Linked DNA regions of Coturnix japonica. The protein of the gene in region 1 interacts with the protein of each later gene in a pairwise test. Links are inferred from orthologs where the notes say so. Each region holds a gene or a part of one and is shown on either strand. Other genes may lie near its edges. The genes, in order: C5H11orf49 and RAB29.

Evidence for each region.
Region 2: the proteins of C5H11orf49 (region 1) and RAB29 interact in a two-hybrid assay, tested with the Homo sapiens proteins (2 studies listed by BioGRID and IntAct). The two-hybrid records come from large-scale screens. The link is inferred for Coturnix japonica from reciprocal best matches to the Homo sapiens genes CSTPP1 and RAB29.

What each region holds. Positions count from the first base shown.
Region 1 is NC_029520.1:20,779,858-20,795,733, reverse strand, and holds the start of C5H11orf49 (UPF0705 protein C11orf49 homolog), read left to right. Parts: upstream 1-319; 5' UTR 320-407; coding exon 408-447; intron 448-508; exon of another isoform or gene 509-685; intron 686-10,036; coding exon 10,037-10,139; intron 10,140-15,876. UniProt on the Homo sapiens protein: Regulator of the tubulin polyglutamylase complex (TPGC) that controls cytoskeletal organization, nuclear shape, and cilium disassembly by balancing microtubule and actin assembly.
Region 2 is NC_029541.1:2,552,707-2,569,380, forward strand, and holds RAB29 (ras-related protein Rab-7L1), read right to left. Parts: upstream 8,555-16,674; 5' UTR 8,531-8,554; coding exon 8,407-8,530; intron 8,255-8,406; coding exon 8,183-8,254; intron 7,730-8,182; coding exon 7,548-7,729; intron 7,323-7,547; coding exon 7,201-7,322; intron 6,873-7,200; coding exon 6,755-6,872; 3' UTR 4,386-6,754; downstream 1-4,385. Other genes in the region: NUCKS1 (nuclear ubiquitous casein and cyclin-dependent kinase substrate 1), read right to left, coding at 2,608-2,624; SLC41A1 (solute carrier family 41 member 1), read right to left, coding at 11,211-11,396, 11,806-11,954, 12,581-12,715, 13,253-13,332, 13,709-13,856, 14,384-14,530, 14,630-14,774, 15,018-15,089. UniProt on the Homo sapiens protein: The small GTPases Rab are key regulators in vesicle trafficking. Essential for maintaining the integrity of the endosome-trans-Golgi network structure.

The DNA.
Region 1 (15,876 bases):
GTCGCACAATACCCTTCCGTATCTTTATTACCGTTGCCATACGTTTCTCCTCAGGTCACTTTGTCTCTTCAGCCTTTCTCCCTCTGTTGAGTAGCCCGGCCTTGGAGCACACAACCACTCCGTCCCATGGGATGGCTCCTCAGGACCAGGCTGCTCCGCTCCGTCACAGACCCTTCCCTCGAGCTCTCTCCTTTCCCGCCCTTCGCATCCCCGCCTCAGTGCTGCCGTGCCGGGGCGGGGGTTGATGCGGGGCAGGAGCCGGACCCGCTTTCGGGCCGGAACCCTGCCGGTGTGAGGGTGGTTCCCAGCCGGGGCGAGCGGAGGAGCAACGCCGGGCTCTGGGAGCCAGGAGCGTCGGGTGCCTTGGAAACGGACGGAAGCCGGGAGGAGGCGGCGGCGACGAGAGGATGCTGAGCCCCGAGCGGCTGCCTGGGCCCGAGTACCTCGGTGAGGAGCGGGGCAGCCCGGGCACCCGGCTGCGGTTCGGTGTCAGAAGGGCTCGTTGGGGCAGGATGCCGCCCGGCCTCGGGGCCGTGTGTGGCGGAGCGGGTGGGATGCTCGGTGCCCGCCTCAGCTCGGCCGGTGAGAGGGGGCTGCAGTCTCTGCTCGCTTCTTCAGTGTCAGAAAGGGTGCTGCTCTGCAGCTGCCAGCGGGTTGGAAGGTGGGCTTTTCCTCTGAAAGAAAGGTAATGTTTCCCGCTGATATTTTTATGCCACATAAAACAAGAACCTTTTATTTTACAAAGCAGCCACTCCCTTGTGGGCTGCATCCCATTGTGCTGGCTCTGGCAGTTAGTGTTTCTGCTCGGTGTTCCAGTAAACTAAAGAGCAAGGAGATTAGGTGTTATTGTGTCAAATGAAAGGTAATTATGAGGGAAATAAGTCAATATGATGTCACTTAATTGCTAAAGATGAACTGCAAGCTGCGAGCATTTGGAGTGCATTCAAATCAATGTTTTTGAAGTGATACTCTTCAGCCATTACCTTCTAGGCCTAAGAGGCTGTTTGCTAATAACTGTTATTAAGGTATACTTAATTTGCTGCGGCTTTGTTGTACAAGGAAAGGTAAGAAGTGGTGTGTATTGGTTTGTGTTACTTGTTTCAGCATGGTTTTGCTTTCTCTGGTAAGCCAGAACGTAACAGAGCTAGAGAAACATTGTACTGTCTAGTCAATGGAAAGCTACTGTTCCAGGGGAAGGCTGCAGCCGCTGTTTCTTCAGCCTAGGTTAGGGTCAATGAGTCAGGATCCGACTCCCCTTCCAGGGTGCCCCACAGCAATAAAGAGGGCTGAAGAGTTTAATCGAAGGGGTGATCTACATCCTCTTGGAGTAGAACCTCTGCATTTTTGCTACTAGGCTGCTGGTAGGTGCTTTGTACGCGCCTACGTACCCACACTGCCATCTGTGTTATAGAAACTCAAGGCAGAAAGTAGGAGTTTTAGCTCTCTGCACAGGGTGATTCTTGAGAGATTCATTTTGGTGAAGTCCTTATTATGGATTTCAACTTTGGCATTAGTTCAGGTATTTGAGAACAGTATTGCAGCATGCCATTTAGATACACCCTCCAATTGTGCGTCACCCTGTTATACTACATCAGCATTTTCAACTTATGCATTAATGGAGACACTCACTTTTCCACAGAATTGCTCTAGGCTGGAACTTGCAAAATTTCTTTTTTTCCCCCTTTTTAAAGCAAGCCAACTTGGTTTGGGGTTCATTTAATTGTTTTTTAATGGAATAGGTGCTTAACACTTACTTGTGTGAAACTTGTCATTTAGGACTGAATCAGTCAAAACAAGCTAGGAGACAGACTACCAATACTTCTTAAAGAAGAAATAACCAATGTTCTGTTTTACACCTTTAAGGGCTCTATGATTCTATGTCAGATTGTGAAAGAATTGCCTAAGAGCTTTTTTAGTTGATAGTGTAGGGAGGGAGTCCTGTTTAAATTGCAGTCTATACTAGAAAGCGTCTTCATGAGGCTGCTCCCAGATCCTACGGAATGAATTCTGTCCTCATAGTAGGAAATCAATAAAAAGTGTTTTCATAAGATATTTTGTTTGTTTTCTACATTGCCCTGGCACTCTGAAATCACTGTTATTTGGATTTGTCCTCTTCCGTACCTCTAACTCTTGACAATACAGCTGTCTGTTGTGGGGTTGGAAGAAATTGTGAAAAAAAGTTTCACATTCTGTAATTTCCTTCTGAAACTGTTTCCCCAAGCTGCCATATAAGATATTCTTTGAGTCTTCTAGATTGGATGGCACTCTTTCTTTCTTGACTTGAAATAAGCATACTTCACCTCTTTTCCTTTCTCAACACACAAAACAGGCCAAATGAAATGAGCAGCCAAAGTAGTATTTTGTGCTACTTGAGGTGTTTATCTTTTCTTTTTCCTTCCCTTTGTAAAGGTAATTCTGTCATGTCCTGTTTGGACACTAAGAGGACAATATATTCTGACATATTCTAGGGGAAGTAGAAGCAGTCGGGAGTTAAAATAAAAATGAACAATGAATCAGACATTCACTGAAGATGAAAAATAACTGCAAATTTTTGGTATTGGGAAGTGCAAATCTCATGCCATAGTGACTGTGAGACAATAAGTAGAAGAGCAGAGATGACCAGAATTCAGTGAATAGGAAAGGAGATGAGGTCTGCGAAATAGGCAGAAAGGGCTGCAGGGAAGAAGCTGTAGCAAGCAGGATGTTTAAAACTGTGTTTTCACTCACTAAACAATAGTTAGTGTTTGGGGATAGTGATGAAAATGTGTTTTACGTTTGATGGATGAGACTAGAACAACAGTAGGCAAAATAAAGCTTATTTGAGACACTTTTCCATGCCTTCCTCATTACAGTTTAATAACTGGTGATTGCTCCATTATTTATAACAGGCAACAGAGCACTCAGTTTATTGTTCTACTCATGCAGCTGTCTTCTGAAGCTTCAAGTTGTAGATTTCCCCATCTTCTCCATTAAAAAGAAAATGCTGAAGATTATTGCAAATTTCTGAAATTTTCCTCTGGAGCCTTCTTTTCTCTACTCCCTAATTCCAGGATGTTGGTTTTTTCCTTTCTTTGCCAGCATAAGACATGTAAGAACATAAATTTACCATTAGGTAAATGCCTTATTGGTAAAGCATGAGGCTATTAAGTGCCAGGAACACAGTCCTGTTTCCTCATCTCTCTTAGGCTTAATGAGTTGAAAGAGCATTCACGTTTTACAAAGCCAAGAGTAGCTTCCAGCAAAGTACTTCAGTCACACAGTGACCTTGCACAAAGCTGGGGTTTACCCTTTTCCTGAAGTACTGAGTTAGAAAGTCCAACTGCACCCTCAGCAAGTTTGCAGGTGATGCCAAGCTGTGTGGTACGGTTGATGCACCCAAGGCACAGGGATGGGATGCAATTCAGAGGGATCCAGAAAGGCTGGAGCAGTGGGCCCAGATGAACCTCATGAGTTCTAACAAATCCAGGTGCAAAGTCGCACCTGAGTTATGGCAATCCATATAACTATAAGCCTGGGGATGAAAGGATTATATACAGGCCTGCTGAAAAGGGCTCAAGGGTATTGGTGGATGGTAGTGATGTCAGTGATGTGTAGTTACAGCCCAGAAAGCCAACAATATCCTGGGCTGTATCAAAAGAAGTATAGCCAGAAGGCATCCACCTAGAGATCATCTAGAGATGATCCTACCCCTCTACTCTGCACTGATGAGACCATACCCAGAGAGCTGCATGGGGTTCTGAGCAGCCTGATGGAACCATGGGTGTTCCTGTTCTCCGGCATTGGACTGGACGGCTTTTAAACTCAACCCTTCCAGCTGTAAAAATTCTATGATTGTACAATTTTCTTTACCAACATGTTCAATGTTTAGGCTACTGTTACAATTGGAAAGACTAATGCAGTAGAAGGGCAATACAAGAAAGTAACAGCAAAGGGACCAGTGCAGATAGGATGGTATTTCACAGGAAAAGTAAAGGTACTCACCCATCTCCAAAGATTTAGGCTCACAGAAAGAACTCTACAAGGAAGAGATCTTCAGCCAGAGAACCTTCCCCAGTTGCAGTCAGCCCATAAATGAGGTCTAAGAGGGGTACAGCCAGGGTCCACCTCTTCTTGTCCCACAGTTGAATTGCCTTCACCTGTGCTCCCAGGGCTGACCAGGTCCTTTCCCCAGGTGCTCAATCAGTGTTTCAGGCTGTGACTGAACAGTTCCCATACAGCTATGCTTATATCTAGGGATCATGACCAATGCTGAATCTCTTCACAGTTGAGATATTTGCCAAACTTCTATGGAACACTCCATCTGAAAGATGTTCTGGTCTAAAAAGAGATAACAAATCATTTTTCTTTTCCCTTTCTTACTCTTCTGTATAAATAGGAGAGCTATAATGCGGAGGATGAATGACTTCCCTGCTGATAGATTTAAGTTTGTTTGTACGGATGATAAGTTCAAATCCTCTTAGATTCAGTATCATACTTTCTCCAAAAGATTGCAGCTTCAAACCAAACCTGCTGTTGTACTACAGGATATCTACCTTAGCTTGATAGGTATTACATGGAATCTCATTTTGAGTGAGGTAGATTTCCAGAACTGGAGAGCCTCTGTGTTTGAGTATGAATTGACAGGGAGCCTGTCAAAGGGTATCTAATGTCCTTGTAACAAGCAGTAGTGGTCATTACTTCCACAGTGTTAATAACATGCTGAATAAATTCAGATTGATTTATGTTTTAGGGGAAAAAAGCTCAACAATTGTGCAGTGAAGAGGTGGTGATGCCTAACATCTACACTGCATCTTGCAGGAGGTAGTTGCTGGAGGGATTTGGACGATGAAGGCAATCTGTGTGCGGTCTCAGGATGCTTGTGCAGTGAAAGACTATAATGTCATGGTTTGTTATTAATGTCTGATTAATTTTTTGAAAGAAATATCCAGTTGTGGTCACAGTAAAATTACAAACTGAAGCATTTCTCAGATTTTTTGGTTGAAAGTGATTTTAAATCCACGAATACACAGAATACAATGCGTTGTGTGGCCATTTAGCACACATTCCTGAACAGCTGTTCATGTCCCACTCATATCATAGTGTTATCTCTGGTATGGCTGGGTCTACTTGCACTTTGCTACGCATTCTGTCCTTTAATCTCAGTTTTTAGGGCTAATAGGAAATTATACTGATAAGCTGTGCAAAGCTGTGAGGAACTATAGCTGTACAGTGATTTTGCTCTTAGGTCGGTTGTTTTTATTTGCATACTTCTCTTGCTAAGTCCATTCCGTGAGGATATCTGAAGAAGAGAAAAAGAGCATCCTGAAAGGTTATCAATGCTGAAAAGTCTTTGGGAGCTGATGTTATTCTGTTTTTGTAGTTTATATGCATTATTATTACTCGTGCAATATTAGCAATAATTGTTTTTGTGTTACTGTAGTTGTCTCTGATGTGCTTTAATACAGTGGGGTCCTTAGTTCAGTGGGGTCCTTAGTTAAGCTCTGATTTAGAATAAAATCAGGAAGTGAATTTAGGAGCGTACAAAGTAGCAGCTAGAGATTTAAAAACACCAAAAATATTTCAAGTACATTAAATCTTGTAATGCTCTTGAACTTCTGATAACTGAAATGAATTAGAGCGGTAATTGCATCAAAGAGTGTATTTTGAGCACTTCAATTGAGGAGGAGGAAAATAATTAATAAAAATCAGTCTCATTATCCAGGAATTCCCACTCCTGATTTTTCATAACATTCTGCTATGCCAGGAATGAAGCAGCCAACAAAAAAACACTCGTGCATACAGTAGGTATTGCTCTGGTAGAGGGCTTGTGATCCTTTAGAAGGCATCTCTCATGACAAGCTGAGCAATAATGCAGCTAGCTGATTTGATAATTTGATAAATAAGACCCAACCTTTGCTCTTGGCTGTGGTTCTAATGCTGCTTTAAACAGAGCATTCCTGTTGACCTGTACTGATGTGTATTTTACCATCCTATATAAGTTTATTCCAGTCTGCTGGTATACTGATCTACAGGGTGAGGTTTTTTGTTGTTCTATTTTTGTCTGATTGTTTTATTGGCCTCTTAAAAAAGGCAAATCTCTTGGAAAAAAAAAGCTCCATCATGTTGCCATTGTGTGCTGAAAGGGATAACATGCAACTCAAGGGAATGGCTCTACAGCATATGTAAGTTCTTTATCCTCGCCCTCACAGCTCCTGGGCACTGCTGGTAATAAAAAAAATACAAATACACAGTATCGTTACATAAAGGTAGTATGTATTTTCTTTCTTCCTCCTGAATTTCTGACTTAGAGAATGTTAGTTCATACATTCCGTTTCACATAGTAGTATTTTCCTTTTCCTTCAAGTCTTCCCTCAAATGTCAGTGCCTGTTCTTATAATATTTTTAGTCAAACCTACAGATTACCAGGCCTGCTTGTTCTTGTAAGAAGAAACAAGTCATTCATTGGCTTACAAAAGGACTATTTTTACTACTATAATTTCAAATGTAAAAATAAATTGATATAATTTCAGTTAAAAGGAATCAGTTGGGGTTGCGTAAACTATTGTAGTGGAGAACGTAGGGATTGTGAACTGAGTGTGGGTGTATTTCTTTCTCTGTCTTTTACTTCTAAGCTGGAGGAAACTCATGTGACCCGATCAGGCCATGCTTGAATTGAACAGACAGCACTCAACCTTGAATTTGGTTTTGAGCCAAAGGGTATTAATTTCAGAATGTACTTTGTACCTTGAGCTAGTGAGGTGGGATGCTGGTGTGTGAGTGGAGTGGCAATGCTGTCAGTGCCATTCTCCCAAGTGCTGCAGTAGCTGACATGTTAGACGCATTGTAATCAGTTGTGCAGACTCTAGGTGTAATGTCACCACTAGCTGTTCATGATGAGAGTTAAACTATTCTGTGAAAGGACACCTACTTAACATCATGTCATTGGCTGCCAGAAGACTGCTCTGTGAACTTAATGCTGTTTTGTTTTTCTGTGAGAGGTTCCTGGCAGGCTTTAGGTTTGACAACAAGAAGTGGTACCTACCAAACGTGTGTGGCAGGCACACTTGATTCCATTCTAGGGTAGTTGCATGGGATTTCAAGGAAGAGTTTAGCAAAGGTGTTGCATGGTCCATTAGCTTGCATGATTTTATATGAGTAGGGAGGAGAGCTGTAGCTGGAATAAGCCACAAACAGTAAATGATGAGAATGATGTATGTGGAAGCTGCAGTAAACTGGAATTGTGTCAGAAAGACAATGAATAGAGAGATCAGGTTGTAATTGTAGCATTTTGTGAGCATTTGAACTTTCCATTCTAATTTGGACTTGCTGCTTTATTTCCAAGTTGGTCAAAAAAATAGGAGCAGCATCTATAACAATACAACATTAACTCCCTGGATTTTCAAAGAGTTTGAAACAGTATTAAAAGCTATGAATCATCATGTTTATTTTGCATTGGACCCTGTGGATTTTTAACTTTGCACTTACATAAATAGGTAATGTTGCCGTATAGTTCCAATGTTTGTTATGGAAAGTACCCTTTATATAAATTATGGCACTAATGTTTTGCTCTAACTAGACCCCTGGCATTTCATTTTGTCTCTCTGGCCTGCTAGAACCTGCCCATAAATTATTTTTTTTATGACTGTTCTGTGTAGGATAGAGTTGGTTGGGCTACAAAGCATAATGCTTGTACCACTCTGTGGAACTCGTCAGCCAGAAAACAGGAAGCCAAAGCTGGGATTTGATTTGGCAGCGTGAACCATGCTACCTGGAAAACAGCATAGCAGATGAAGTGTCAAGGAAAGAGGCTTCTTAAGTAGACTGCAAGTGCTGTTTTTCTTTTTAGCTTCTCTGCTCATAGTTTTCTTCCCTCCCCCACTTCCCTATCTGCCTTTTGGGAAATAAGGAGAGATAATCTTTACCAGGATCCTGAGACCACACAGCAAAAAGTTTTATTTATAATGTCCTTTTTTCAGTGACAGTATTCATCAGTAACCCATACATAATTGTGTACTATTTTAAGGGTGTCAGAAATATCTGAAATTCTGTGTTGAGCATTAATTTATCCTCCAGGAGCAGACTCAAAGGTATTTGTTAGGAGAGGTCAGTCTTAGCGTGATATGTAGCACTGTGGGGACCATACCTGTTTACTCCTTTAGGCGTTTAGGAGAGAGGTTAATAACTGTAAAGAAGTGGAATAGCAAAAGAAATGTGTGTTTCACTGGTAAGGGCTCTTCTACAACAGGGAGCATATACATCCCTAGAACATTTAGAAAACAGTTTTGCAGTTGAGTAGGAACATATTGTGGACTGAGAGGAGTGGAAGCCTGTTTGCTAGTGTGGTTTCCTGACTTAATCTGGTACTGCTGACAGCTCTAGAGGGGCCTGGGAAGATGTTTCTGGGTGCAAGATGGGCTGCATAATGAAGAGGGAAGAAGGATGGGCTGAAATAAAGTTACCCAGCTGCTGTTATCTTAAGACTGTGACTGAGCTGCACGACTCATTCTTCCCTCAGGGGACACAGGTGCGCAGAGCTATTTTTCTTTAATCACTCACATAAATTTATTCCTTTGCATTAAAATAATTAAATAAAGCTACGCCCTGTATCTTTTAGTGCCAGATAATATCTTTGAACCTTTGGCTCACCATTTTGCTATCAGCTGCAAGGTGTTTTCCAGGGTGTGCTTAACCAATTTTACCATTGTCCTAAAAAGTGTTCTAGTCAGAGAAATCCCCTGATAGCAATCAATGTTCATACATACTTTTAATCACTGTATCCACTGGGAATAATCATTTCCGGGCCTCTCTTGAAGCCCACCTGCCCCACACTAAGATGAAAGGGACTTCCATGTTGTGCATCAAGTGGCACAGGCTTGATGCCTACCAGGATATTAAGCACAAATTAAAATGGTTTGAAGAATATTGATGTGGGTCTGTGGTTGGCCAGTTGCTAGTTGAGGGGAGTGATGCTGCCAAGTCTGGAACAGATTGGCAAGGAGCAAGAACAGCCTTCGCCTTTCCTATATCCCCTAAGGGCCTTCTCCTGCTCTTTTTAGGACACGACACTACTTGCAAAGGTGCAGTACCATACGTGTTTAGGATGGAGGTGTGTGCTTTGGGAACAGGGCTTGTGTGCTTTCCAGGTTAGGAACAATTTTCCTGGGTTCGTTATGACTTGTTTTCTGATTGTTGAACTTGTAGGTTTGGAAAGTCTACTGCTTGTGCATCACGCCAGACTCAGCTCTTTGTTCCTCCGAGTTGATTTCCAGCCAAGAACATCAAAGGCACTCAGTGGCAAATCTGTACTGTTTCCTTCCTGGCAAATGCTTGATTTCTTCAGTCTGCCCCCTGCAGAAGCAGCAAAATTGTTTGTCTTGTACAGTCTTACTCAGAAGACTTGCTAGTGTGGTTGGGTACTGGCAGATCTGCCTCTTCTGAAACCTCCTCAGGTTTGGTTTAGGCAGTTACTGGGGACTAACTGTTGAGCAGTATAAATCTCTCCTGGTACTGAGACCTGTTCTCTACCTGCCACTCCAAGAACATTTATTGATGTTTGTGTGGAAACAGATGTAATTTTATTTACACCTTTAGAGAAAACTTTACAGAACAACCTTAAAGCTACTTGGCTTTGGTAAGCAGGGAGGGGCAGGGAACACCTAAATCTCTACAACGACCTCATTGATCTAGCATTGGTGATTTGAATACGAAATATGGCTGTGACTCAGAAGAGATGAAGACCTCCTCTTGGATAAGCATTTTCCAGCATGGCTGTCTCACAGCTCTATCTCTTCTTCCTTCACTTGCAGAATCTGAAAGGATTTGAAAAAGGGTCCACACTGTTAATGACTAACTGTGTAGCCAGGAAAGACAGCAGGAATTTAGGTCAGGAGTTCTGCTATCTGTATCTGGAAGAAAAAAAAACAACACTCTGGTTTCTAAATGAGGGAACAAATACTGATTGGTTTGTTTTGTAAGGCCCCAGCAAGGCTGGTCTGGCTCTGGGCTTTGCAGGCCCCTTGTATTCTAATTTCTGTCTCTTACTATCTTTTATTTGCAGCTCAAAGACATGTCCTCACGTACATGGAGGATGCAGTGAGCCAGCTGCTGGAGAACAGAGAAGATATTAGTCAGTATGGCATTGCCAGGTTCTTCACTGAATAGTAAGTACATCAGGATACTGCCAATAGGGCCAGCCTGAGGGAGGCTTTTGGAAACAGGCAGGGTACATGGAGAATGGAGCTGGACACATGCTGATTATGTTGTGAATGCTAGATTTCACTAGGTTAGCCAAGGGCTGCCTGAGTACGTCTCAGAAACGTGCATGGGTTTTCATACAGTTTGGTACCTCTCCTGTTACATTCATGTGAAGCGGCCACTTTGGGAAATGAAGCCTTTAAAAGCATATAGAAAACCAAACCCTGCTTGGCTTAATCAGAGCTGTTAGCCAGTTTTAAAAGCAGGGATTGTTTCTGGTTTCAGCAGCACTCATTCTTTTTTTGTTTGGATTCAAACTGTTTTGTCCCTTGTGTAATTGTTACTGTGTTGAATGCTTTAATAGAATGTCTCGTGCTCCCCCGCAACCTGCGTAAGTCCTTAAAAATGAAAATAATTATTAGCACGGATTATCTTTTCCTACTAATTTGGGAAGTTGTTGCTTTTATTTCTTCATTTTGGAGGGGGGAGTTGAAACTGTGCTGATCTCCAGTGTTGTTGATGTTGACTCAGCCAATCACTGTATGTTTCGCCAACTTGATGTCTTACACAATGCTTAAAAGTGTTCCGGCAGCTTCATTAAAAAATCTGTTGGTAATGGGTGTGCTTGCAGTTGGTGTGCTTCAGTCTGTCTTTTTATGCCCATTTGAAAGTCTGCTCATTTGCTTCCTTTCCTGTTAAATTTTTCTTGAGACTAATAGATGTGCAGAGCAATTTGCAGAAATATCCATACTACAGCTGTGGAAGAGGATTTCAGTGCTCAGGAGAAGCTTGCTTTCTCAGCTGATCAGAGTGATGTTGGGTTATTTTGTTTGTTTTTTACTGAGGTATGATCAGGTGGATCATCTGACCTCCAAATGAGATCTAACTTCCTACTTAAGCTGTCTGGACAGCTTAGGTTATATTTTCCAGCCCCATGTGTATTTCAAACTTAGAAATATCTGAGATTCTCTCTGGTAAATTAGTAACTAAAATAAGTTATGCAGCAAATCTGAGTGGGAATTCCTAAAGCTTTTTTATTATTATTATTATTGTTTTTTTAATATTGAGACAGAGTAGCAAGCTGCTCAAGGCCAGTGTGGTTTCAACCATGCTTGGCAGGGGAAATAAGATACAGGCCATCTTGCTACATCTGTTTATGTAACAGATCTTTTAGGTAGATGGCACTGTAAAAAGGAAATATGTTTTTTAGCTCTCACGAAAGTACTCATCTTTCACTTTAAAGAAATCATCCCAATGACAAAATGCAACACTTCTTTGTATAAATGCCTTTATTCTGTGGAATTAAGAAAAATCTAACAGGGAAATGACGTTGTCTTGTTCTACTGTTACTCTGTAGCTCAGCATAACTGGAGTAAAAATTGACTTTAAAAGACCTTCAGAACCTATTTTAGAATAGATAAAGTACTTGGTTTTACAAGGATATTTATGTACATGTGTATATGTGTACATGTATGTGTATGTAGCCTGAACACTAAATACATTCCATTTCTGTGGACTATCAAGGTATAAAGATTAAAAAATAAAAATCAGTGCATGGTATCTGGAATGCAACTCTTATTGCACAAACAATACACTTCCATGATGTGAGCAAGTTGCAGGGCTAGTAGTCATTGTTAGGTGATGGCTGTAGAGAATTAATCGGTGGCAGTAGTTATTAGGGATAAATAAAGATACAATCTTGTGTTCTTGATATGACTGGGAATCATGATGTACCATCTGATTCAGGTGACTTTCCACAGAAGTAAAACTGAGATTAATCAGCTGAACAAATAGTAAACAAGTGCTTAAAGATAAAGAGCATGACTGTAATGACCTCCACCCACATCAGGGTTTGTTTACCAGGACTGAAAGCAAGGTGACTGTGCAATACCCAGCTGGAATTATTGTATCTATCCAGACTGGATTTGTTTTACACCTGCTTTCAAGTGGACATCTCAGGATGTTTTCTAAACCTTTGTGGATATATGCTTCAAGAGTTAAATAGTGGTGAAAGAAGTCTTCCACACTTAAATTGAAACTGCCCACACCACTTCTCTGCAGTATTTCTTCCTTCATCATGGCCTGTTTTCTCTTCACTTCCTATTCCTGTTCTGCTTCTGAAAGAATACATGGTAATGCAAGATCATTATAACAAACAGAACTGTGAGCATAGAGCACAACCCTGTGATGGACTTAGGTGCTTATGTTTTTCCCAGTTACTTTCAAATACGTGAATTTCTAAAATGGCTCCATTCACACTGAGCATTTCATGGAGCTTTTTATTTCCTGAAAGATGGGAATAGAATATGTTTGTTTGTTTCACAAGTAATAAGGAACTTGTCACTCTTTTTTTTTTTTTTCCTTTTAGTGGTATGGGTAGAATTTAGCAGATGACATTGTGTCCATGACCCAAAGCACAAACAGCCTTAGTAATTTGCAGAGCTGTGAAACAATTATAATGTGAAATGTGTGAACCCATATTAGAAGTAGACAATAAATGATCAGAAATATGAATGTAGATAGAACAGGAAGTTTCCCAGAGCTTAGTGTTAAGCTCCTGCTGCCCAGTGGAACTGTACCCATCCACCTGACTGAACTCCACTGCTTTGTACTGCTCTGTCAAGCAAATCAATACAAATCTTCTGTAGTTCTGCCAAGATAATGAAGTTTGTGTGTCAAGTATGGTCTCTACATAGTAAATCTTTTTAGAGGGTACACTGTACAATAGCAGTGTTCCATGGACCCCTCTGACTGGATTCATCACAGAGGGGTGATCATGGCTACCTATCACGTATCCCTCATGCATTGCAGTGCCCTGCCTCACTGTGAGTCACTTGAAAACATTGTAGTAGTTATAACAGCTACTTTGTAGGTAATCATTAAGAAAAGATTCCGTTTTGGGGGAGATTTAGATTATCTGACTGAAATTTCAGAGTTGAAAAACTGTGTGGTCATACAGCTCTCTATGTATGGATCAAGCTGGAAATGTTTTGCAGGCAATAAGTTGTTCCTAGTTCAGGAAATGAAAACAGTTCTGTATTAAACTGCTATCCACAGCTGAGCACTAAGATTGCTGATTGTAGAGGGCTGACCCTCTTCTTTACAGCTCTCCTTCCAGAATATTTTTAGTCTTCAAGGATATTTTTTCTCCCACTTTATTCATTTGCTCATTTGTCCCAATCATGTGGACATCTGCTTTCAATCTTGCGAGTTCTCTGAGGCTTCTCTCATCTGACTCACTCCTGATTCTTACAAGAATAGGGCTCAATCACCCTTCTGCCAATTAATCCGCATCTTTTACCTAAAAGAGTAAAATCGTGCCTCTCTCAGGACTGGTTTGGATTTTATAGATTTGCTGAAATGCTACTGGTGTTTGTTCATTGCAAACCCAAGAAATCTCTGCTTTGCTTCTGAATCTCCATGAAATGCAGACTCTTGAAAGCCCTTTGTGTAATTACAGACTAATGCTGCTTTACTTCTTCCAACCTAAACTCTGAGCCAGCGTATCTTAAAGGGACACGTTCCTCCTATACATTATTTATCATCCTGTTTTCTTGATTGTTCCTGTACTGAAGAAAAACAGGGCCCCTGTGCTAATGCATTTGATCACTCAGCGGGAATGTGCGTTGTGTTCTACTTTAAATTTTCTGAGATCTTAAAGGGAAGCTGTGTGCTTATTTCACTTTAGCTGGAAGAAACAGCAAAAACTGTCCTTGACCAAAAAACTTTTAGTAATTTTAGTTGTTTGGTTTTTTTTTCTATGGCAATAGTTGGCTTGAAACTTTCTCAGTTTGCAGATAGATACCCCACTCAGTTCAAGGCTCTTTTAAAAGGTTATTTTTTGTTTTGTTTTGTTTTTCATGTACTTCTCCCAGAGCACTTCTTGTTTTCCCTTGTTTATAGTGAAATGTCTTCCCATCCATGTGCCAGTTGCAGGATGACTGAGAAAGACATCTTGCTGTTTGCATGCAGATGCATCGCCACCACCACTGGGCTCTGTGCTTACTGACTGATGTCCAAGATCCCCTTTTTCTGTAAGGGATATTTCATCCAGGTCTAACTTGAAGTATCCCTGCTGGATCTTGTTCACATTTGCGTGCTTTCTGATGACAGTTTTGATAATATCTATTTAAGAAGTTACCTGCAGTGTGCTTGTTTGTTGGGAATGGTGGTTAGATGTTGCATTTAGGTCCTTTAGAATAGATATTTAGTTTAAAATGCTGGACTAAACTTTTTATGCAGAGGAATGCTTATTTAATTCAGAGTAAAAGGATTGGTAGTGCTGTATAGCTTGAGATCATTGGATAGAGAGTATTGAGAAGTATTTGCTTATAGTAAAGAAGGTACCTCATTTTGTCCTGCTCTCTAGATTGGCTGGAACTATTCATTCAACTTGCTCCTTAGGGACTATTGTGATACTGCTCTTTTGGCTTAATCTAGCAATAGCAGTGACACCAACTTGTTCAGTCTTGTACTTCCACGTTAAGTTACCTAGATAAATCTGTAGGGGAAACAATGTCCTCTTGTTTAAAATGGTCTCTGTACCCTTGGGGAATGGAAGAGGCAGAAGGGAAGGGCCAGAAATGGGACAGATGGATGCCTGTGAGAAATAAGCCACTCATTGGAGGCAATGCTGAATGACAACTGGAAATAAGCTGAATTATCCTCTTATAAAGAGGAGAGATTCTTAGAGCTATCTTAGAGCCTTTTTTTTTTCTTTTTTTTTTTTATCTCTCTGTGTGTGTAGGTCTTATCATCATCATCTTGCTGTCATCTGCACTGTGTCTTTCCTCTTTTCACAGTAACTTGTTCTGTCTTGTTTGCAAGGATAGTATGAGCTTGTCAAGACAGAAATTATATTGTACTGCATGTACTTTACAGCATCCACCACTGTAGAACATTTACAACTGTACAAAGCATGGAGGCATAAACAACAGGAATAGTGAGAAGGTCCTTAGGGCTTTGACGAGTTGTAGTGTATCCCCTTTTTGAGAGACAGAGACTAATTGAGTGTCATCAGCTGAATTTCTTGATAAGAATCGGGGGGAAGGTGATGTGTGTGTTTTTTTCTTTTTTCCCTATTTCTCTTCTCTCTTCTCTTTTCAGAAACTTGTATCTAGGAAGCAAAAATTCTTTCAGATACTTACAGCAAATGTTGATGTGCTCTTTAATACTATTTTTGCAATAGATGTTACATTTCACATGTTCTTCAAATCCTGTCAGAACTTATGAAGTTGTTTTGCTTGGGAAAGAATCAAAATGATCACATTCAGTGCAAGACTACTGTGAGCGTGTGATAGGTATGAATTTGCCGCTGTCAATGGCCAAGCTGTGGAGGAGTTCTTTGGGTTGAGAATCTCAGCTGGGATGACAGGAGCTTGATGGCTCCTGACAGTCTCTTACTTGGGATTCCTTGATCCCATAAGAGTGCTGTCTGTGTCTCCTTTACTCTTCAGTTATCAGAAGAGAGAGGATAAATATGTGCATTCTGAGAGACAGTGCTCGTGCCAGCAACTCTGAGGAGATTTTGCAGCTAATGTGAAAAAGTTACTCAGAAAGACATTTTGAATGTCTTTTTCTGGAGAACAGAAGGATTTACAGGGCTGAGTTTGGTGATAAATCTTTCTGGGGATCCTATAATAGTTGCATAATTCTACACTTACAGATGTGTGGCTAACAGACACAAAGCCCTTCCATTGAGGT
Region 2 (16,674 bases), on another chromosome or scaffold:
AATACTTCTGTTTCTCTGAGGAAATGTTTAAATCCTTCCATATATATATATATATATATATATATATATATATATATATATATATATATATATACACACCACTGAAAAGCAAAGCTAAGAGCCTTAAAGCTCATAGCAGCCTCATCTCGCAAGGAAGAGGAATGTTTAGGTGATACAACTATCAACAGAGATAACAACCTACTCTCCCATGCAACTTGAGAAGTCAAATGAATGAGAGGTTCAGTGGTTATCGATGGTTTTGTTTTAAACTACGGCATGTAATTAATATAACAATCCAACAAAGCTTCTGTAGTGAGACAAGACTCACTGACCAGAAGGTCGCAGTTACTGGGCTCATAGTCTGGACTTGATGCAGCTCCAAATGTCAGTACTGGGCGCTGCTCACGTCACCTGCATGATTTCTAGGGATACACGACTTAAAACTCAACAAAGCAATTCAATGATTTACATAGCAACACTGTGCCCATCCTCCTTTGGAACTTATTAAATGAGAAGATACTGAAACATTCTAAAGACAAACAAAAGACCCACAAGATACAAGAAAACTGTTCTGCAACAATTGTTGCAAAGCACAAAATCAAGTTACCAGGAGCTTCTACCCTTATTTCTTACCACACTGCAAGTGTTCAGAGCAATAAACTCATCTTTTTACCTATCTGGAAAGTATCTTGGACCGGCCACGTTTTGACCTGGAGGGCTATGAAATACAGCTGGGCAACAGATTGCTACACCTCTGCTAACAGCACATTGGACTTCAGCACTGAGCTCTGCTCCACAGCACTGCCTGTTAACTGCAAGTCAGGTCGAGTCTTTTGCAACACCGCATGATTTGATGGATTTAGTTCTGGTTTATGAAAGGTTTCTTGCAAAGGTTCCCTGATAGCAGAAGCCTTAAGTTGTTAAAGACACGCTTTCCTAACCTGCAGCAAAACTCAAGTGCTGGTAAGTAAATCAGCAGAACACATACCGAGCAGCACAGTCACATCAGCACTATTTCAGGACACAGACACTGTCATTCAACATCAGGCCACAAGTCCATTTACCTGCAAAAACCCACAAACTGGTGCTGCAGGGCAAGGTGTTAACCCTGCTCATCACCTCTCAGACCTGAGGCCATGCCTGGGAATGGAGCTCTGAGCTCTTCTCCCTTTCCTTTTGCAGGCAGCCATGCACTGCTGATCAAAGATAAACCAACCAACCAGCTGCAACAACAACTGTTTCACGGATCAGTGTGGCAAACATTCCTGGTCTCATGCCGTATTCCTACTCTGTTTTGTAAACTCTCACATATTAGGGATATGAAATATAAATGCAAACTTATAGGTGTTACCTTTTATAAGTAGTTTATGGCCTACATTCACAGCATGGTTGGGGATGGAGGGGACCTTTAAGGTGATCTAATTCCAGCCCCCCCATATAAAATAACTCCTAGGACTGCCATAATTATATAATGATTATTCCAAAATAAAACACAGTTGGGCCTGATGGCCTTAGAGGTCTATTCCAGCCTTAATGATTCTATGAAAACAAATGAGGTTATCCAATATCAGGCTATCCCATATCCCAGATCAGGCTAACACGAGACAAAAAAGCACAGCAATTACAGAACCACAGAATTATCAAGGTTAGAAAAGACCTAGAAGATCATCTAGTCCAACCATTCCCAATACTTCCAGGCTAAATCATATTCCTCAGCACCACATCCCATGGACACTCCCATGGTTGGTGACTCCACCACCTCCCTGTGCAGTGCATTCCAATGCCTGACTACTCTTTCCAAACAGTAATACTTCCTAATGTCCAGCCTGAATCTGGTGCAGCTTAAAACCATTCCCTCTAGTTCTATCACTGATTACACGAGAGAAGAGGAGCTCACTACAACCCCTCTTCAGGAAGTTATAGAGAGCTAGAAGGTCTCCTCTGAGCCTCCTCTTCTCCAGGCTGAATTCTTACTTAAGCCCCCTTGAGACTGCAAAACCGAACACATCAGAGCAGCCAAAAAACACACGCGAGGAGACACCTTACCTCGATTTCAACTACGAGCCACAAGCACAAAACAACCCTCTCCTTCCAACGCAAGGCGGCTTTCTTAAAGCTCACATCGGACCCGGGCGGGGCGTACTCTAAGCGGGGGTGGCTCTTTACGGCTCCGCCCCCATTGAGCGCGGTTCTGCTCCGCTCCCCCGCACGGCCCCGCTCCCCTCCGCCGCCCCCCTCCCCCAAGTGAGCTCCAATGCTCGGAAATGGCGCCTCTTTCCTCTACCCCACGCGGGTCCGTGCTCGAAGCTCCACGCAACATAACGGCGCTCCCCGCCCCCTTTCTTCTCCCCATACACACACACACAGCTCGTATCGAGGCCTGTATAACCCCTGCAATTAAAAATGGATTCAAAATACATCGTGCACGCGTAAAACACGGGGTTACACGACTCAGCAGCCCCCCTCCACCACACATACATACATACATACATATGGCCAGGCCTCCCACCTACCCCAGGCTTAGGGCCTACATTGAAGGCCTACCCAGCTCTAAGGCCGGGCCTTAAGGCGAGATCGCGGCCTCCACTCCCTCCTCCAAGGACTCACCTGACAGGCCTGGACATTTTCCCCTCTGCTTCAGGCCCGGTCAGGCCGACACGTCCAGCAGAACGAAGGGATGAAAGAGAAGAATAAACCCCGCTAATCAAACAACAAGCTTCGGAGCCTCCTGTTCTCCCCCCCTCCCCACACAGCTGGGCCCAAGCGCTTCAAGCCGAGTCTCTCAGCCCCTTCAGGGCCGCAGCCTCCGGCCCGAGCCCACCCGTGGGAGGGTCCACGTTCACTGTACGTGGGCCTGGAGCCCCCCGGCCCCGCTCAGCTCAACCCGACCCCACCGCACCGATTCCCCCCCGCAAAATGGTCGCGTTCGCCCCGCTCTGAGGATGCGAGAGGGGGGCGGTGCGGCCTACCCCGCTGGCAACACCTCCCGCCACGCTGATTGGTTGATGGGGGAGAATGGAGGCGTTTCATTGGTCAGTTCGAACCATCACGGGTGAAGGTCCCGCCCACTCGCCTCGCGGGGAAGGGGGGTGAGGGCGGCCCGCATGCTCTGAGTCACAGAGCGGGTTAGGCGCAAGCGGCAGATTCGCCGCCGGTTCCGTCGCTCCGTGTGCCGCTCCCCGGTGCCGTGTTACCCACATATCCACACACCTCCACTTTAGACACCGAGCCTGAATTTTTACATGAGCTCAAACAACCGGGGAGCGATCGGCAGGGATAAGCTCAAACAACTAGGCGAGCCATCGGCAGATTCGCCTGTTGGAGGGAAAAGGCGGGGAAGCGCCGCGCCGCCCCGCAGCGGCCTCCACAGGATCCCGCACATCCAGGGCCTGATGTCGGCTCTTATAATGAGGCCCTCGGTCCTACAACAAGGCCCGGCTCTTCAGCTTAAAGCCCCTCGGTTAGAGCAGGGAACGGCCTTTGTCATGTAAGTGTGCCCTGGGGCCTCACACTGAGGGATCTAACGTGAGGGAACCGCAAACACAACCCTGAGGGGATTCGGGGTTGGAAAAGGAGCTGCTTTGTGCTGTGGTGAAATAGGATATATCTACATTGCATTATATGGTGGGGTTGGAAGGTTGTGAGGGCCTCCATCCAAGCATTGCTAACGTGGCAGCTCCTGGAGCAGCTGGAGGTGTTTGGTTGTACACTCAGCACTTCAGATCCAGCTTTCACTTAATGCTAAGAGTCTTTAGAATCATTTAATTCCTTGTATGAGCTTCGTTTGCCCCCTTTACAATGATCAGTTCATACGTGCCCAGTCCATCGTACACTGAAGGGACTCAGCTCCTCAGATCCAGCTTTCACTTAATGCTAAGAGTCCTTAGAATCATTTAATTCCTTGCATGAGCTTCATTTGCCCCCTTTGCAATCATCCCTGATCGGTTCATATGTGCCCCGTCCATCGTGGGAGTCAATACTCATGAAAATCAAGCTGATCAGGGAAAGAAAGAGGGGCATTCAGAGCTCACTGTGTGAGCTAATGAGCCAGAAGGAGCAAGGCCTATTAACAAACAGCCACATCAAGGGATTCTTTTCTTCCTCCTCTTAGCTGGATGTATTGGATTAAAACCCACTATGACAGCCTGGCAGATGTGAAAGTTTGGCGTGCTTATGTCCCACTTGTAGGTCAATAACACGACGGTAATGAAGACAACGAGATTTTCCAGAGAAAAAAGATCTAATCTGTTTTGCTGGCAACACAGGGCAGTCCACACTGGTTGCTTTATAACACCTCCTGTTCTTGGCAGCAAAACTGTTTCTGTTTTGATCTCACGAACCCATTTCTTAGGACTCTTGAGACAGGAAAACAACGTCTACACCAGCAATGTCAAACTCTTTTATGTCAGACCTTTGCTATATTGCATTCATTTACAGTTTGATAGGGAGAAAACCTCCCAGCAGTTTCTTCTCTTTGTATAAACATGATAATACTGCAGTGTTACAGTAAGGAGAACCCTGTTCTCAAATACTTCTGCATAACTACAAGCTGTTTTAAAACCAAAACTCAATTTTGACCTCATTGATTCTATTCCAGTATACATTTCTATGTGGATCCACAGATTGCAGTCATCAACATATTAAATATGTAACTAAATGTCTCTTTTGAGACCTGTGACCATAGATTTAAAGAGTTAAGCAACGAGAAACACGTGGAATAGAGTGAAATAGGCATGGATTGCCTGGAATTACATAGAGTACAATGTCAAAGCAGGCACTGCAGGAAGGAAAAACCAAAGATCATTTTCAAAGCAGGTGGAACAGCAGAACAGAAATAAGAAAATCAGAAGAGATCTTCCTTCGGCTTTTCCTTGTTTCTAAGAGGCACTTAGGGAAAATCAAGAGGTCCGGATACTAAAAAGGCACTGGTACGTATCCAAGTGATGTACAGAAAGTATGGCCATGGAAAGTACAGGCCATGGAAACCACAGCTGTGCAGTTCTTGCTCAGTTCCAAGCTTTCGTGGCTGCATTAGTTGGTCCTGGGCAGGGACCTCCACTGCAAGCCTCATCCCCTTCACCTGTATGGGCAGGTCTAACTCCTGGCCTTTGCTCAATTAGACAGCAATCAATAAATAATACACAAGTCTTTACAGTTTCATGACAGATCCTTCTAAAAATCAGACCCTTTTTTCTCTTTTCCCTGCCATGTTTAGGAATTAAAACACAACAAGACAGTTCAATTTTGCTCCTAACCACCCCTACACACTTCGTGTGTTTCTCCAGTTAACCCGAAGGCACAGGGAAAGGTATATTTAAGTGCTTATAAGGCTGAATTTGGCAATATTTACACAACAGAATCTTAGCCTGGATATTTGGAACATAACATAGGCCGAGGTTTTGTAGCCCTTCCTCACAGCTTATCTTTCTCAACCCCAGATAACAAAAGGCAATCAGTTCTTGTTCTTACTCTGCATCCACAGATGATGGATGTTCTTAAGGGAAAGTTTTTCTGCCTTTTAATCTTTTGGCACACAGAGATGTAAACTATGAGAGAAAACATCATTGAAGAGCACTTGTTTAAACCCTAACCTCAACACAGGCAGGACACAACTCTATAGCACAGCAGGATGATGACAAGAGCCCACAGTGCTGCATAACTGCAGCCTTCCAGACTGGCCTTCCTTATAGCTCCTCCAAGATAACTCTAATGTGTTCTTACAGTTTGTGGTTGGCAAGAGCCATTCATAGCTAGGCACACCTGGGGGATACATTAGGAAAAGCAGGCACAAAAAAAGCAGCTGGGGAGCAGATTTCTTCATTTCCTTTTGCCCTGCAAAGTCTTTGCTTGCCCCTTAAAGCACTAAACCAGCAGTGGGCTTCCAGCACCAAAGCCTGCCACCAAAGTCACTGCACTGTAATGGTGGGAAGGTGATGCAGCAGCAATTGCAAAGCTTAGTGAGATGGTAGGACGCAGGGTGTGCTAAAAGTGAAAGGAACTGTTGTTCTGGCACACAAAGGAGTTTACAACCCATTCCTCATTCAGCTCCCAGTGTCCTAATAAAGCAGCAGTGGAAGAGAACACATGGGATTGTGCTAGACAGAGGGTAAGAGTGAAGGAACAGAAGGCAACTGGGCAACGCTGACAACTCCGCAGTCAGCACACACATGATTTAGGGCTGTGCTCCATCTCAGATCCACACCTTAAGGACATGGGATGACAGTGCTGAGATGTGTTGGTCTCCAGCAACAGGCAGACAGAGGTGTAAAGTTCCAGAGCACAAAATGAAGGGTTTGCTGTAATCTCACCCCAGGAACCCACAGGAGCAGAGAGAACGATTCAACTTCATGCGCATCAAATGAGGGTTACTGCAGCACTCTGGAATGGTTGCCTCTGTGGATCAGGTGCAGGTCTTGGGGGATAAAAGGTACCAAAGGTGCAACAGCATTAAAAATACACGTTCCACGTCCTTCACCCTGCATGACACAGGCTGTCATATAGGAGAAGATGAAGAAAAGTGCTCAGTGTTTTAAAAGATGAATCCCAGCCATGTGCTTGAGCACAGACTGTGCCGTGCTCCCACTGCTGCTGTGCTGGAAGAAAGAGGGCTCCTTTCCTCACTCTTTCCATTCCTCCTTCCAAGCCATTGCAGCAATGCTTAGTGAGTATGAATGTAAAGAGAGGACAGTTCACTATCTTTGAAAACAGACAAAAAAAGGGGTAGAAAACAGAAGCAGATGGAGCAGTCAGTGCATCAGCAGCACGCCCAGCCCGGCGGGGACGTCTCTTTGATATTAATATAATCCCCCCTCCAGGAAGAAGCAGAACTTCCATCACCAGTGGATGAGGACATCATCTTCTCAATCAGGACTCTGGAAGACAAATAGATGTGAATTAGGGCATTGGAGCACAGAGAAGAACAAAACAAAACAGAACAACAACAGAACCAAAGCAACAACTCCTGGTTGGACACAAAACTCCAGAGCTTTAAGGAGCAGAGGATCAGCTTCCTGGGTACAAGCTGCTTGACCAAGGGCAGCACAGCGTCTGACCTCTCTGAATTCAGTTTCCCTTCAGGAGATTCACTTGCATGTTATTGCTGCTATCTGTTACTTGATGACAGCATCTCCCCTTACCTCAGCCAGCACTGTCTGAAGGAGGGAATTAACTCTTGCAGTGTGCCCCAATTGCTGTTCCTACCTCATAGACTCGTTAATGTTCTTGTTCTCCTTGACGGATGTTTCCACCCAACCAGAAAAGCCATTTTCTTTGCTGAAACGATCCACTTCTTCTCTTGTCACTGCCCACGGGGAAAGGTCACACTGTAAAACAGGAGTCAGCCAGGTGAGGCTCAACCTTTCCATTCCCAAGCTGGGAGGGGAACTGTTGGGCAGTGTTGGGCAGTAGGAGGAGAGCTTTGAATCTCCTCAATCCCAACCTGACACAGAGCTCTCAGGGCAAGGTTCTTCTGGAGGTGTTCAAGGCCATGTTGGATGGGGCCCTGGGCTGGTATTCAGTGTGAGGTTGGTGGCCCTGTCTGTGCTCACCTTGTTGGCCAGCAGCAGGCACGGCACAGGGCTCCCATCTGGAAGCGTCAGCTTGCTGTCCAAGTCCTGCTTCCACTTCTGGCTGTTGCTGAAGGTGCTGACATTGGTGACATCAAACATGATGATACAGGCTGATGCCTCCCTGTAGTACAGCCGGGTCATGGATGTGAAGCGTTCCTGCCCTTCAGGATCAAAAAAAAGACAAAAATCCCCATTTTTAAGTTCCCATTTTTAAGACTTACTCAACCAAATAAGTGCCCACAGCAGGACTTTGCTTCCTCAGCTCCAAACTCCATTTAGGAAACAGAGGTGCACCATAATGAGAAAGCATTTATGCAGCCCCCACTGAGCACTGCATGGGGTGAGGGATTCTGCTTTATCTTCCCAAATATCTTTTCAGGACCCTTTGATTTTTAATGCACTTCTCAGCACTGAAACTGAAATCTGCTTCTTTGCTGCAATCCCTTCCCTGCAAACTTCTCCTTCCTGTTTTCTTTATGAAGATCCCAGACACCCAAACCCAAAGCCCTGCATCCCAACCTGCTCTGCACCCTAAAATCCCACCCATCCCAACACATGGATGGATGGAGCCTCATCCCCACCTGGATGCACTTTAGGGCTCTATATGAACATACCTGCAATGTCCCACAGCTGAAGCCGCACCGTCTCCGACTCAGACCACTGGACCACCTTCAGTGCAAAGTCCACTGTGAACCCCCATAGGAAAAGAAACTCCTTTAAGGATTAAATCATCAGAACCCCCCCCCCCCCCAACTCTTTACAGCTTCATTTACATCCACGTTACACAAGGAACCACCGAGCTCACCCATCCCAACCCCCCCCTCAAGGCTGTGCTCACCTCCCACAGTAGATTTGTAGTGCCGGTTGAAGCTGTCGTTGGCGTAGCGCTGCACCAGCGATGTTTTACCCACCGTAGCATCCCCGACCACCAGCACTTTAAACATTCGGTCCCTCTGCCCCATCTTTCTATCCCCCCCCCCCCCAAAACCCACCCCCTCCTCCCTCCCCCCACCCTCGGGTGCAGCGATCACGTGATGGTCAGGCGGAACAGCGCAGTTCCGGAGCTTGTTGGGGCGGGGAAAGATCGGAATAGAACGGAATGGGGTGGAATAGAACGGGACAGAACGGAATGGGATGGAATAGAACGGGACAGAATGGAATAGAGCCGCATGGAACAGAACGGGAGACGACAGGATAGAATAGAACGGGATAGAATAGCACAGAATGGAACGGCACAGAGGGCATCCCACCAAGCCTGCCCTACTGTCTAACCACCCCCATAGGACAGCCCTTATTGCTTCCTGACCCCCCCATACACAGCTCTATGCTGCTCCCATTCAGTCCATAGGAGCACAGAACCAACCCCCCCCCTCCCCCCCCCAGGGCTGTTATCAGTGCTGCAAAACTGTGTGCTTCTAAGCTGCTCCTGAGATGGAAGAAAGAAGGGCACCCAAGTCCGCATAAATAAATGTCATCTTTATTTAAGGAAATATAATTTATCAGCAGTTGACATCCGTCAATCCAGTTACAGTAGCTATAAATAATTAAGACAAGTCTTTGCTTTGTTTTTTCTTTAATACAAAGAGAGCTCAACCCGGCGTTTCTCATTTGCAGTCAGCTGTAAGGTGGGCTGTGCAACCGAGTGCAAGTGATGGGTAAAGCTTTTGGCTGTCCATGTGCTGAGATGCTAAATGAGATCCTGCCCCATCCCATTCACCCCACAGCACCTCAGCACCCATAGGAGACCATGGGAGATCCTCCCTCTGACACCACTGCTTTCTCAGGGAACCAAACCCTGGCATCACAGCACAGAGCAGTAATGGCACGGCCATACACAAACATGGCAGCAGAAGGAAATCTCACATCCCACCCCTCAGCATCAGGCAGGGATAGGAGGTGAGAGCAGAGGATGCTGGAGGAGCCCCCAGGCTCAGACTTCTTGCTTTGGGGTATGAGTTTGGTTGGTTGTTCTGATGTTTTGGTTTTCCTTTGTGTTTTCGTGCAGAGCTGTGGCTGAATCAGACCTGCGAGCAGCCAAAGTCAACTACAGGAGACAGAAGGAGGGTCAGAGCTACTGCCACTAAGGGGACAGCACAGAGATGGAGAGGGGGAAGGCGAGCCTCACATCAGCAAGGTGAGGAGGGGAGCATTGCCTCTTTGTGCCAGAAATGCTGAAGGTAACCTAAGGGAGGAACTGAAGCCATTCAAGACAGAAGAAGAAAAGCAGCAGCCTGTAGGTGACCCCAGATCCTGCAGCTCTCAGGTGATGGCCCTGGATCTGCAGGCAAAGAGGAAATGCAGCAGCACAAAAGGCACAGGGCTGCAGTGTGAGCTCTGGTCCTTTAAGGGCATCTCCCTGTGCTTTGGGCACTGCAGCACCAAAACTGGGTCCCATGGGACACTATGATCCCCACCCCTACCAACATTAGGAGCTCTCTCCCATGCATGCAGTTTGCATCAGAGCCTGCTGAGCACATCATTGAGTGAAGCTTCCAAGTCAATAAGACTCGCTTAAATAAACTGTGCTCAGCTCACTGAATTGATTTATATCCAAATGGGAAAAGTAAAAAGCTCTGACAGCACCCAGGAAGGTGATTGTATTACAAACGCCTCAGTCACACAACCAGAACTGGTTTTCTCTCATTATGCTGCTGCATGAGAATCCCCCCGGGGAGCACAGGTGGAGGAACGGCAGGTTTTCCTGGCCACCTCCCAGCTGGGCAACACAAAAAGCAGGAGGGAAACAAGGCTCACAGTGCTCAGCCCCTCTGCTGGCATGCTGGGCTGTCACCAACCCCAGGCTGCAAGTGCAGCTTGAAGCAAGCAGGGTGCTCTGCTGAGAGCCACATAGAGTGCTGCGCTGACAGTGCATGGCTGCACAAGTCAGGCTGTGCTGCTGACCTGTTTTCCTGCTTCCTCCTACGCATACAGGGAAAGCCAAAGGCTGAACACAGATGGCATCTTCTAAGAGACAGCAGCAGCAATGATGCTCCCGAGTTTCATACTCAGCAAGGGAAGGTACTGAGCAGCTCCTGCCCAGCTGCAGCTGGAAGCAATCCTGAATGCACAAAAGTGGATCAACTCTGGACCAGAGAGCTGCATGTTTTGGGAGCAAAGCACAGGTGAGGGGGTGCAGGGAGAAAACACGAGGGAGGAGGGTCACAGGACAGAGAAAACAGGAGATCCCCATGTCCTCACCCACAAGGCTGCACTTTGCTAGCAGGTGCCCTCTCAGCAACATCCATCTTAACTTCATCTCCAGCATTTAAAACGCTTATGAAGCGAACAAAGCAGCCCTTCACCTCCAGAAGCTGGGACAGGGGGGGCTCCTGTGTGCTCCATCGACTGATGGGCAGCTCCCCTGGAACACTGGTCAGACAACTGCTAGGAAATTGCACTTAGTGATTGTCTCATTACACTCCCGCGTCCTTCCTAAAACTAGATTTATTTTCTGTACAAACTTGGCTTGAAATAGAAACCACATAAAATTCCCATTGAAAATAATGAGAATCCTGTATCAAAGATGAAGTCTCGTGAGAGACAGGGTAAGGGATGGGGGGAGGAAGGGGAGCAAGAGTGGAAGAAAAACAATCATGACAAAAATGAATGGAAGAGAGCAGAGAGGAGGGGTGGCAGGGAGAGCTAATCCCCCACATCGGAGTCCCGGTCACCAATAAGCCATAGGACATGAAAGCTGAGAGCAAGGAGACCTGTTCCAATCAGGTCGCCCAGCGCTGTCAAGTAAGGGATGGAGAAGTTGTCAGGATCGAGGTCCCTGCCCCACATCCAGTGCACCATCCAGTCAGCGATGTACAGCAGAATGAGAACCTGGGAGGGAGGCAGAAAAGAGCCACATCAGCCACAGCCCCAACCTCTGCCATCCCTCTCCTCATGCAGTACCTCTGCAGCCCCTCCTTCCCTTCAATGCATCCCCAGCACGTTCAAGCATAAAGGCTCAGTGCACTGATACCCAAACACCAGCAAGTCTATATTTTTCATCTCCATCTTAAGATCTAACAAGAACAAACTCAGAGATATGGGGCAAAAGAGAGGACTCAGAAGCACAGAGGACTCTTAGGAAGGGTCAGCAACATCTTTATCCCAGGGATAAAGAGCAGCTGAAGCCACCAGAGCGCAATGTTCCCCCCACCTCCTTCATATCAGTGCTGTGGATGGCATGGCAGCATCCCTTACTGCAGCCTGAGCAGTTGCAGCCCCTGGAGGGGCCTCAGCTCACCTGGAGGAGTGCAGCCGTCATATAGAAAACAATGAAAATGGGGGTGAGCGTAGTGTGTCCACCTTGCATGGAGCTGATGGTGTAAAGGAAAACCAGGTGTCCAGGCACGACTAGAAGGAAGAGCACACGAGCAGAGCGGGAATTCACATCTGTTGGGAAACAAATGTGGAGTTCAGGAATCAGTGGGATTGGAACACAGCAACTGTGCAGCCTACTTACAGCTGGGGGCACCTCGGATCTCAGAAGGCCAGAACCAAGGCTATGGAGTATCAAACCTCCCCCAGGCAGCCTGGAATATGACCACCTCTCCACACACTATGTAGGAATGCAGGTTCGGCTGTTCACTGCTACAAATAACAGGGCTAAGAAGCATTTGCAAGTTAATTTTCTCTAATTGTAGCTCTATAGGCCCAGCAGACCCTCAACATTTGAGCAGCTTCAAGGCAGGTTTAGGTATCCTGAACATCTGGAAAAGATTTGCTGGGTGAAGGAATTACAGCATTACACACTTAGGGCACAGAACTTGGGCAACGTGCTTTCCTAATCCAGCAGGGATGTGTCCTCTTTGCATATCAGCTTTGCTAAAGGTCCACTGGTCTCTAGAGGGCAGGGCAGGCCAAAAGAGCAGGCATCCACGAGCTGACAGCTGCCTCTGAGCCTCAGCCACCATTTCCTGTGACAGTGCTCCAGTGACGGCCTCAGCCGAGCTCAGCCAGCCATTTGCAGCAACTGCTGCTTGCAGAACTCAATACATTCCAAGCCTTAATTTGAGTACCTGAGCTGAAGAAAGTGCTGCAAGGGCTGGGGCATTTGCGAGGGGTTGTTTCAGGGCTCTCTCCAGGCATCCCACTCATGTGCAGGTAAGTGGAGATGCGACTCGCCTGCACTGCCACCAGGTTGCCACCCACACCTGCAGATAAGGAGAGCACAATAAGGGAAGTTTAAAGCTGCTGGTTTTTGCCTGAAGCACAAGGAAACTCTGAACTTGCCAACCCATAGATGAGCTGCTGCAGAATTAGCTCAATTTATTGCAAGGCTGAGAATGAGTGCAAACAGAACTCCCTTGGTTCATTAGGCAGAATGGAGGTCAAAGCTTCATTCCAGAACAAACCAAAGATTTCCCGACTTGAGTTGCAAACCCAGATCTTTATGTTACCAAGAGCTGCAGGGCTCGTATCTTGGATCAGGGGTCTTCCATGAGCCAGAAGGAAGTGGATAACAAACAGCTCTTGTTGTGGCTCCGATTTGGAGTTTCTCTCATGCAATGGCCTCCCCTAAACCTGTTACCCTCTCCTGAAGGGGCTGGCACCAGGAGGTGCTGCTGTAAAGGTTGGGTTTGATCTCATCTCACTGGTGCTCTAGCAGAATTAGCCTCCTTAACCTTCCTACACTGAGGCAGAGGCCAAGAACCATCAGAGCTGCAACATCACCATGGAAAAGAACTCACCATTAATAACAGGGGTGAAGACAGCCATCCCAGCAAAGTTCGGATCTGAGACCGTCCTGTCCAAAATTAAACCCCCAACGCTGCAGAGAGAAGAATGAAGAGGTCAGTGCTGAAAGCCCATCGGGCAGCACACACAGAGCACTGCAAGTCCTCCCTGCTGCAGCGTGTGCACTGGGTGATGTATCCACCCACTAACGCGTGCAATAACCACGTGCTGAGGCCTTGGATTCCAGCAGTCAGGTGCTCAATGCCCCTGGGCCTCAATCCCAGTGTCTTTGACTGGAAAACACAACGTGACCTCCAGTTTCCTGGCAGAGGCCGCTGTGGAAGGAGAAGTTTGAATCGCCATTTTCTTTTGGAATCTGTCAAGCGTGAAAAGGTTGGAAGGGCTGGGGGGAAAAAAGGTGAGTTTTGTGTCTGTGTTTCAAGGAGAAGAACTCTTGCACACCTTCCTACCTGCTAATTGCCATTGCAATAATGACTGGCTCCCAGCCAGAGTACAGCACCTCCCGAGTCGCTGCGTTCTTCTTGGCAATGATGATCCAGATGGGCAGCAGGGCTATGAAGAAGGCACACACCAAAGGATTCACGTATGCTTTGCTCCCTGAGGGGGAAATAAGCAAAGGCAACAGGTCAAGGACACATCCTGCAGCAGAGAGCTGTGATGCTACTTCAGCTGAGCTCACCAGCCCTGCCAGCAGAGAGCTGCCATCCCCAGAGTCAGAAACATACAAACAAGACCCAACATTTCCTCCTGATGCACCTGCTGAATGAAACCTCTTTAGTTTCCCAACTGCTCCTTCCTACTTCCCACTCCTGGGCAAGACCTCCCAGAGCTGCTTCACCTTTGAGTGAACCTGGCTGAGTCACATCCTCTGCATCCCAGCCACCAGGGAGGAGGAAATCCATAGCACACAGCTGCAGCTCTGCACTGAGGACCCCCAGCTGGTGCTGACAGTATAAAAGACTACAACCAAAGCTGCCTTCCCCCATTGTTTTAGCCACTACCAAGCTCCTAGCACTTGGAAGCCCCAAGAGGATTAAGGGTAAAGGAACAGGGTGAAACACAAGGGAAATGCTGCAGCAGACACAAGGACCAGGGAGAGACAAAAGCCTTTTGTTGCTGCTCACCCAGCTCTTTGTACAAGCCCCAGCTGATTCCTGAAAGCAGAGCCAGGGTGATGAGATCCCCCAGACTGGCAGCAATTGGTGTGGCTACGTTATCAGGATTGATTCCCATCTTCCTGGATCCAATGATGACTCCAATCATGATCATGCCTACAGCAAAATAAAAGAGGAAGAAATTAGGATGAAGGCAAGGAGAGCCCAGCATGTCAGGAAGAGGTGCATGAAGAATGTACATGATAGATATCCTACCCAGGACAAGGGAAGCAATGAAAGCAGTAGCCACGCTGCTGGCACAGAGCAGGACAGCATGGTCAAGGCTGAAGTGCCCATCTGGAATCCATCCAAATATCACTGCTGCAATCGAGGCCAGGAAGCCAACCACGGTAGCCTGAACCTGAAAATGAAAGTGAGATGAACACCAAGAAGACTGAGGCAAAATGGTACATGAAGTTCAACCTTCAAGGCAAACTGCAATGGTAATGTGACCATGGGATAATAAGGTGCCATTTGTTTCCCCCTTAGACATGCAATACCGACAGTCAATACCCAAGAAAAGACATTCAAGCCTTCTGACACCTCTTCAAGTTGGACTTCAACAACTACTAACATCCCCATGTTTTTTTTCCCATTTTCTTACCTGTATCAGTGCCATGTTCCCTGTTATCATCTTCCAGAGCTCTTTGGGTGTGTCCATTTGGCCAATATTAGCCTGCAAGAAGACATCACAGCATCATTAGAACCTTAAAAGATGGATGGCTTTGCTCTTCCAACAGTTAGCCTGGCTTTATAGCCCAGCACACCAAAGCTGTTCCCAGTTTGAGCTTCGATGCCCTGTCAACAGGAATGGGCTGACACTCCTATGCAGCAAAAGCAGAGCAGGATAGAAGGAATTTTGAAGGGAGCAATAGGAATTCTGATGAAAATCCAGTAAAAGCAACAAGATACACTTTGCCCTCACACAGAGCCACACACTGCTGCTTGAATCCACTTCAGTGGTGATGAAGCCAAGTCTGGCCCAGGCCCAGCTGGGTCACAATGCCCCTCATTTTAGCCAGCCAGGAGGGAAACAGGGGTTGCATAGATCCCAGGTCAGCTATCAGTGCCCCCAGCTCTGACACGGGGCAAGGCCAGAGCAGCACCACGTGGGCACAAGGAGCTGGCAGCAGGAACTACAGCTGGGGATAAAAGTTGAGTAAACAAGGCTAATGCCACGTGGAGACCTACTGAGTAGCAGGAAGCAGCCATGGCACACGGGTCATCTGGCATCGCTACGGGAGATGCTAATCAGAATAACCAGAACAGAAGGAAAGCTGCTTGAATTTCTTGGCATACAATCCAAACAAAACCCAGCAGAATCCCTGCAGGTTGCAGCTTATGGAGAACACAGGAGATCTGCTCTCCCCAACACCTTCTGGTATTCACAGTTGGAAAGGACAGGCAGAGAGATGGTGCCTGCATGCAATCTTGTAACATTCTAAGCTGATGAATGTGAGGGAGAAACAAGTTTGTCACTATGAAATCATAAGGGAAAGGCTTAAGGAATATGAAGTAGTTGCATGATGGAGTCACTGGCTGAAAGTGTCAGACTTCTAACAAACAATAGAGCAGCAATTCCTGCCTCTCAGGTTTCTTTCCTGGTCCACACAAAGAAAGAAATCTATGATCAGCCAACCTTCACACTTCTCATTGCATCTACACTTCAGAGAGCTGCCAGGCCACGTCCACCAGCTCTGAGACATGCCCATCTCCAGGGTGAATTCTTCTGCTTGGTTTAAGGGGAGGGAAAGAGAGAATGGAGAAAAACAGTCTTGGCTGTAGAGCTGCACCCACCACATCCAGCAGAGGAATTTGAGCTCCATACGAAGCCTGACCTTAACATTCCTGCCACATGGCAATTAGGTTGGGATTAACATAACCTAGCTGTAGTCAATGGCAACAGGATGTTAATCCTTTGACTTAATGGGAGAGTTTTACTTCTTAATTGTGGAAGGGACTTTCTGAGGTGACTTAATGCAGCACTAATTAGAAACCCACAATCTGAGAAATCCTTCCAGACTGTTTTCCTGCAGAGCGAGCACGAGAATGGCATCGTGAAGCGCTGCCCAAAGGAGAGCCCACTCCCCATGGGAAAGAAGGGAGAACTAAAGAGGCTGTCAGACCCCATCATGCATTGATACAAGGGAGTGGTGTGCCAGGCTGGGAGACTTGCACATAGGCAGCACAGCCTTCGTTCCTGTTGGGGTGAAGGACTCACCCTGATCAGTCCATGCTCAAAGCGTGCTCTGAAAGCTGGC